Xenopus tropicalis: one gene and its partner. Each later gene encodes a partner of the first gene's protein in a complex. Links are inferred from orthologs where the notes say so. Each region holds a gene or a part of one and is shown on either strand. Other genes may lie near its edges.

Region 1 (3,828 bases):
GCATAACCAGTTAACAAATAGTGCAAATAGCAGATACACAAACACTGTTATAAAGACTATTTAGAGTACATATTTAACAAAGAGAAATAAGATTTGAAAACAGGCAGTTATTGAAAAGAGCCTTAGCCATTGTGGTTGCCTTACCTTGTAGAGACAATAATCAGTTTGCGCTGGAGGTACTGCTCATATTGCAGGGTTACTTTAAAAGAAAGAGGAAAAACATGAATATTTCCTGCCGGGTGCTTATTTTTGCTCACCAATACATCTGGACATATATACAGAGCATACACCTGCACATACAGAGCTACAATAATAATACTCACATCCTACTACTGCATATACAGAGAAACTAGTAATATTACATTATACACCACATATCTGCATTCTAATGCTGCATGCAGAAAACCAGCAACATGCCACATGACACCTCGCAGTGGCAATGGGAAAAATGTTTAATAGCAGTTCGAGTAAATCTGGTGCAAACTGATAAGTATTAAAAGTCCACAGAAATTAACAAAAGGCTTAACCTGTCACTAAAGTGAAAGGGGAGTCATCACTTAGCACAATAATTACTCTATGTCTGTAGCACCTGGATCTTGTAACTACTGTGTTTCTTTATACTGCCAAATAGAAGATACGGGCCAGTACACTTGCAAGTTTTGCATTTTACCTCTGATTTAAGTCTAATATGATGTCACTGGATTGCATGACATCACTTTATGTTTTTGTTCATGTCTAATTTGTATTATTAGGGATGTACCAAAGGGTCAATGTGGACTAGCAAAGCAGTTACAGGGATGCACTTTTTAGCTCTCTGAAGAACTGTAAACTGCCCTGTAAAAAAAAGTATAAAAGTGTTTGGGGAGGAGTTGTTTGTACCCACTTAATGAATGCTGCTTATTCTTTTAAAATGTTGATATTTGTTCTGCTCATGTTGCCATAGCACTAATACCATTTACATGTTTTAAAAGACACTGCGACAGTGCACTGTGCCTTGTGCCTATGCAATGGACAGAGACTGCATCACTTAACATAATCAAGAGAGCAATCTGGTGTGTGGAAAAGTCTAATTGAGTCTAAGGGCTCTGGCACACGGGGAGATTAGTCGCCCGCGACAAATCTCCCTGTTCGCGGGCGACTCAAGGGGCTTGCCTTGAGAGGAAACATACGCCGCCGCATATGCCATCCCACTGGCGATTTACATTTTCGCCGGTAGGATGGCATTTTGGGGAGATTAGTCGCCCGCTAACAGGGAGATTTGTCACGGGCGACTAATCTCCCTGTGTGCCAGAGCCCTAATTGTTAAAGGTACTGAGTGCTAAACGAGTATAGATTTCCTCTCAATATACTCACGTTCAGGCCTTTTCTCGTAATATGGACCAAAAGCCTCATCCTTGGGTATGTTAGGGTACCGATACTTCAGAGGATTCTCAGGAATGTTTTCCTCAGCCAAAAGCTGATAGTTCCGGATGATCTCAGTGAGTGGGATGGAAGAGAGTTCCTTCTTGGTGTATGGTTGGACAGAACGGATAGTGTAGGTTCCTATGGGCAGAACACACAATAAAACGGGTATTTGTAGAAAGAGCTTTGTTGTGTATAGCATTAAATGTAAATCATTTGGCTGAAATCCAGTAAATATATGCTACAGAAAATGGCCATTGAGAACACTAAAATTTGCACCTTTAAAAGCTATTAAAAAGCAACTTGTGCCAATACAATCCCCTTAGCATCCTGCTGTTGTTACCAATAGGTCAGTTTAGCATACTCTGATGAATATTGTGCAATATTGTGTAAGTCTATGACACTTTTCATGCAAATATGGAAAGAAAGCGTTACATGCATGCCAATCAAGCTAAGATCAATGTTGTTATCACATGGTGCATGATATCTGAAACATATATGGATGCTCCCAGGTGCCAATTATGTGCTGCTAAGCCAGAGTGACTATACTATCCTTTCTGCATGCCATTATTTAACCTACCATCTTCATGCTGTTCCACCCAGGTGCACGTGATCCCACCACAAATGCTCTCACTAAAGCGAAGGAGAAAAGTGCCTGATATCTCGGCCTTTAGCAGAATCTCTTCTTTCTTGCGACTTACAAATCCCATCACGTGCCTGCAAATACAGTGTGCACATTATAGTTACCCAGGAGCAGAAACCCATAGCAACCACTAAGATGTTTGCTTTCAAACAGGTAACCAATAACTTCTACTTGCTTATGGGTTACTGCTCCTGGGCATAAATATGTAATAAAGTTACAGAAAACAGTTAATCGCAGCAAGTCTGTTTATTGACCTTATTTCAGAATAACATTACATTTTTATTTGCTTTTCTAGGTTTCCTAATACTCGTGATAAGATACAGTGAAGTCTGCTAATAACATACATTTAAACCTTTCTATTTCAATGGCACAGTAACAGTGTTTCTGGTTCCCAGTCAAATGAATGGGAATCATGCCCTACTAGAGAAAGGGTTAAAGGACAGGAGAAGGAACTGTTCTTCTGCACCGACTTCTTTCCTAAAGGGGAACTACCGCAAAAATGAAAATTTAATATAAGCTTCAGCATACTGAAATAAGAATAATCTAATTAAAAAGTCTGTACTGTTACTTTTCACTACCCTCCTCTCAGCATCTGTCTTCATTTTCTCTTCATGCAGGAGATGGAGTGAGATTTTGATTGACAGTTGGGTGTAATCTAGCCTTTGAGGGGTGTTCCTTTAGCCTAGAAGATGAATTAGAGCTCACTGTAGACTGTGAAAAGTTGTTGAGTATTTCAAATGGTCATGTGTCTTTCCACTACAGTCTTAGCAGACATGTCGTATGTTTTGCTATTATGTTCAAATAAATACATATATCATGTTCATGTAAGTGATTTGTTCCCAACAGGGTAAGATTTTCTATTTGCTTGAATCAGTTATTTGAGTGAGCTGTAATACAAGACAATAAATCAGGAAGCCCCCTAAAAGATATATTAGATCTGTCAATCAAAATCAGACTTCTGACTCCTGCCAGAAGAGAATATGAAGAGACAGACAGATGCTGAGAAGGAGATGGTGAAAGGGAGGAGACTCTCAGAGGGAAGACCTACGTTTGAATACACCTAGAAGAGTGCCAGGAGCAAAATCCACCTGATCCAGCTGAGGAGAAGGTCAAACTCTTTAATAATTTATTTAGAGTAGGACATTATATGAGATTGGAACCTTAACAGAAGTGTTTTATTATTTCTCTATTTATTAACAACAGAATTGAAAATTCTGTTCTGGACTCATTATTATTCTAGGGAGTTAATTGGATTTATGGAAGCAATCTAGGAATGTACTGTCTTATCCAGGAATATCTGGGCCAATCTTTAAGGCTCTGGCACACGGGGAGATTAGTCGCCCGCAACAAAACTCCCTGTTCGCGGGCGACTAATCTCCCCGGATTGCCATCCCACCGGCGAAAATGTAAATCGCCGGTGGGATGGCATACACGGCGGAAATTGCGCCGCCGCGTATGCCATCCCACCGGTGATTTACATTTTCGCCAGTGGGATGGCAATCCGGGGAGATTAGTCGCCCGAGACACAGGAGATTTGTCGCGGATGACTGATCTCCCCGTGTGCCAGAGCCCTTAAGGTCAAATTTGGACAAATCTTCAAATAGACTGTACAGTTTGCTTTAAATAAAGTAAAGTAAGACTTGCACATTTCTACTACCAGTCAGTCCACAGCAAACAGTACAAACATCAGGACAGCAGGAAGGGGAGAGAAGCTGCGGCTTTTCTAAACTTCCTTATCTGCTGATGCACCATGAACTGCCCAACATATTGACATCAGAAGGTCA
Region 2 (3,828 bases), on another chromosome or scaffold:
ATGTGCTTTTTTGGTATGTTGGGATTTATCATGTAGAAGTATTTTGTTTACTGCTATAGTGCACCATGAGGAATATACAAGCAAAATTAGTGCTACACAGCAGGAGTTTCCATTATGATTTAAATAGATATATGGAATTATTGTAAAGCATATTTGCTGCATTTCTTTTTTTCCAATGTCCCTTTTAGATCTGGAGCAATACAAAACAGAAGGTGGAATGCCCCCCAGTTATGAAGTTACCTTATGCTTTGGGGAGGAAATCTCAGAGCATGAGTCTCTTACTAACAAACTAATTGTAGCACAGGTGAGAATTTAAACTGTATATTTACATTTTATTCCATTTGTTTAGTATATGTGTTGATGCAAGAAATGTAACTTCATTCTTTTATTACTTTCTAAAACGTACATGCTAAACTTTGTTTTTTTGGATGTTTCAGAACTACAGCTGTAGGCAGTATTGGCCTTCTACCTTCTCCCTCAGGCTTAAAGGGGACTCTCTACTCCAAAAAAGTGGATTTGGTGCATCGAATCCACTTTTTTGGATTCGGCCGAATACCAAACCAGATCCTAATTAGCATATGGTAATTAGGTTTGGGGGAAAAAATTAAATTTCCTTGTTTACGTGAAAAAAGTCCATGTGATTTTTCAGTTCAACCAGGACCCGTGGACTTGGCTGAATTCGAATCCTGCCGAAAAAGACTGAATCTTGGCCGAATCCTCAATTCAGTGCACCCCTAATATAAATTATATAAATTGTGTTTCCCTCAGTCTTGGAAGTCACAATCACATCAAGCAGGCATGTTCCATTTAGTGATCACTGGTACTAAGAGAGCTTTGCATCATCCTAAAATCTTGCTACACAATTATAGGCCATTAGTAGAGAGGGGGAATAAGAGGAAAGCAGGGACATCTAGGAAGTGCAGAGTTGAAAGTGAAAGTAATTGCCTGCCCCGCTTCTATGCCTGAGGCAGGGAAGGCAAAATATGATTGACAGCTGAGATTTCTAAATAAAATAAAGTTTATAACAGGTATGGATGTTTTTTTTAAAAAAAAAATAGAATTTGGGTTTCATATTTATTTTAAAAATGACTTTAATTATACAGCTTTTTATGTGTGGTAGATAGGTCCCCTTTAACCAACTTGTCTGATAGATTACTGACAATGCTCAGATGCTGTTTCAGAGCAAACTTGTTAATTTAAAACTTTGTTTAATTAATACATTTGCCTTGTCTCAGACAATATAAAAGTACACCATCCCACTTGCTGATCTGTTTTAGACTAAAACATGACACCCAACTTATGATCACTTAATCACTCAATTTATTTTAATGTATGCATATAAATAGATATACATACATGTGCCTTTTTGATGTTTAAACTGTAAGAATCTTAAGATATCTCAAAAAACAAATTCTACCTTAGTGTTGTGATGGCTGTGTTCTGAACACTAACATTGAATGATGGTAGATACAGCGAGGAACATAAATATTTGAACACCCTGCAATTTTGCAAGTTCTCCCACTTAGAAATCATGGCGGGGTCTGAAATTCACATTGTAGGTGCATTCCCACTGTGAGAGACAGCATTTAAAAAAAAAATTCAGGAAATCACATTGTATGATTTTTAAAGAATGTATTTGTATTCCACTGCTGCACATAAGTATTTGAACACCTGAGAAAATCAGTGTTAATATTTGGTACAGAAGCCTTTGTTTGCAATTGCAGAGGTTAAATGTTTCCTGTAGTTCTTGACCAGGTTTGCACACACTGCAACAGGGATTTTGGCCCACTCCTCCACACAGATCTCCTCTAAATCTGTCAGGTTTCGTGGCTGTCGCTGAGCAACACAGAGTTTCAGCTCCCTCCAAAGATTTTCTATTGGATTTAGGTCTGGAGACTGTGGCTAGGCCACTCCAGAACCTTGATATGCCTCTTACGGAGCCACTCCTTGGTTATCCTGGCTGTGTGCTTCGGGTCATTGTCATGTTGGAAGACCCAGCCACGACCCATCTTCAATGCTCTGACTGAGGGAAGGAGGTTGTTGCTCAAAATCTCACAATACATGGCCCCATTCACCCTCTCCTTAATACAGTGCAGTAGTCCTGTCTCCTTCACAGAAAGGCACCCCCAAAGCATGATGTTACCACCCCCATGCTTCACAGTAGGGATGGTGTTTTTGGGATGCAACTCATCCTTATTTTTCCTCCAAACACGGTGAGTGAAGTTTAGACCAAAAAGTTCTACTTTGGTCTCATCTGACTACATGACTTTCTCCCATGCCTCCTCTGGATCATCTAGATGGTCATTGGCAAAATTCAGACAGACCTGGACATGTGATGACTTGAGCAGGGGAACCTTTCCGTGCAATGCATGATTTGAAACCATGGCAGCTTAGTGTTCTACTGACAGTGACCTTTAAAACTGTGGTCCCAGCTCTCTTCATGTCATTGACCAGCATCTCCCTTGTAGTTCTGGGCTGATTCCTCACCTTTCTTATCATCAGTGATACCCCACGAGGTGAGATCTTGCATGGAGCCCCAGTCCTAGGGAGACTGACAGTCGTCTTTAGCCTCTTCCATTTTCTAACAATTGCTCCAACAGTTTTCACCAAGCTGCTTGGCAATTGCCCTGTGCCCTTTCCAGCCTTGTGGAGGTCCACAATTGTGTCTCTGGTGTCTTTTGGCAGCTCTTTGGTTTTGCCCATGGTAGTAGTTGGAGTCTGACTGACTGTGGGGTGGACAGGTGTCTTTAAAGAGCTCAGACAGGTGCTATTAATTTAGATTAATGAGTGGAGTAGAGGTGCACTCTACTCCAGGCAGAATAACAGGTATTTGAGAACCAGAATTCTTGCTGATTGCCAGGTGTTCAAATACTTATGTGCAGCAGTGCAACACAAATACATTATTTAAAAATCATACAATGTGATTTCCTGAATTTTTTGTTTAAATGCTGTCTCTCACAGTGGGAATGCACCTACAATGTGAATTTCAGACCCCGCCATGATTTCTAAGTGGGAGAACTTGCAAAATTGCAGGGTGTTCAAATACTTATGTTCCTCACTGTATATTTAAAAAACACAATGTTTTTGTATGATGTCATATTGCTTGTCTTGGTCTTGTTATTCTTTCCAGACTATAAAAGAACAATATTATTTTATGACCTATAGATCATGTTGTAGACTGCTATACTATAAATATGCTATATGCATGGCACACAGCATATTCAAAGCTTATAAACCCATGTTGTTCCCCCCCACCCCTTTAATTTTTAATATGTTATGGAATGTCCTATTCAACTTTGCAATTGGTCTTCATTACTTTTTTTTTTATTCATGTTGTTGTCATGTCAAGGCCAAGTAAGAACAAAAATAAAACATGTTGACCAGTAGCACAGAAACAAGCCAACTTACTGATAATAGGGAGACAAAAAGTCTAGGTAATTTTGTAGACAACTAAACTTGTACAGAATATGTTATACCCTTTTTCTTTTTGATTATAAACCACTGCCTTCTCTGCCTCCTGTATGACAGCATTTTAATGTAATCTGTATGTTTATATATGAACACTTCTGTTGTACAGGACTGAGAAAAACATTAGTACTTTGAAATGCTTCTGTTTATTGAAAAACCTGGGCTACATTGGTTGCTCTGGTACGTGCATAGAAGGGTATTAAGTAAGGACTTTTTTTTGTCATTGTTAATCATAAAAAATAAGGTGAAGGGTGCAAAGCTTCAGAGTGCCACAGTGGCACCAGACCCTAATGATACTGGCCAGTTACCGTATTTATATCAGAGAGAAAAGTATAAAGTATCTTCTAAGAAAGAAAGCAC

What was found.
Region 2: the proteins of stat2 (region 1) and irf9 are in contact, whole or in part, in a crystal structure (PDB 5OEN), measured with the Mus musculus proteins. The link is inferred for Xenopus tropicalis from reciprocal best matches to the Homo sapiens genes STAT2 and IRF9. Residues at the interface, in NP_064347.1 of Mus musculus: Arg163, Gln164, Lys166, Asp167, Glu168, Asp170, Val171, Phe174, Arg175, Thr177, Val178, Phe179, Leu181, Lys182, Asp188, His190, Gln191, Gln193, Gln194, Leu197, Thr201, Lys204, Met208; in NP_032420.1 of Mus musculus: Leu206, Leu208, Tyr212, Leu233, Asp234, Arg236, Ser244, Glu245, Ser246, Ser247, Met248, Asp270, Arg271, Leu274, Val275, Ala276, Asn278, Ser279, Arg280, Phe283, Val284, Gln285, Leu287, Cys313, Glu315.

The regions. Positions count from the first base shown.
Region 1 is NC_030678.2:138,423,892-138,427,719, forward strand, and holds part of stat2 (signal transducer and activator of transcription 2), read right to left. Parts: intron 2,119-3,828; coding exon 1,982-2,118; intron 1,543-1,981; coding exon 1,354-1,542; intron 200-1,353; coding exon 145-199; intron 1-144. UniProt on the Homo sapiens protein: Signal transducer and activator of transcription that mediates signaling by type I interferons (IFN-alpha and IFN-beta).
Region 2 is NC_030677.2:139,348,144-139,351,971, reverse strand, and holds part of irf9 (interferon regulatory factor 9), read left to right. Parts: intron 1-188; coding exon 189-304; intron 305-3,828.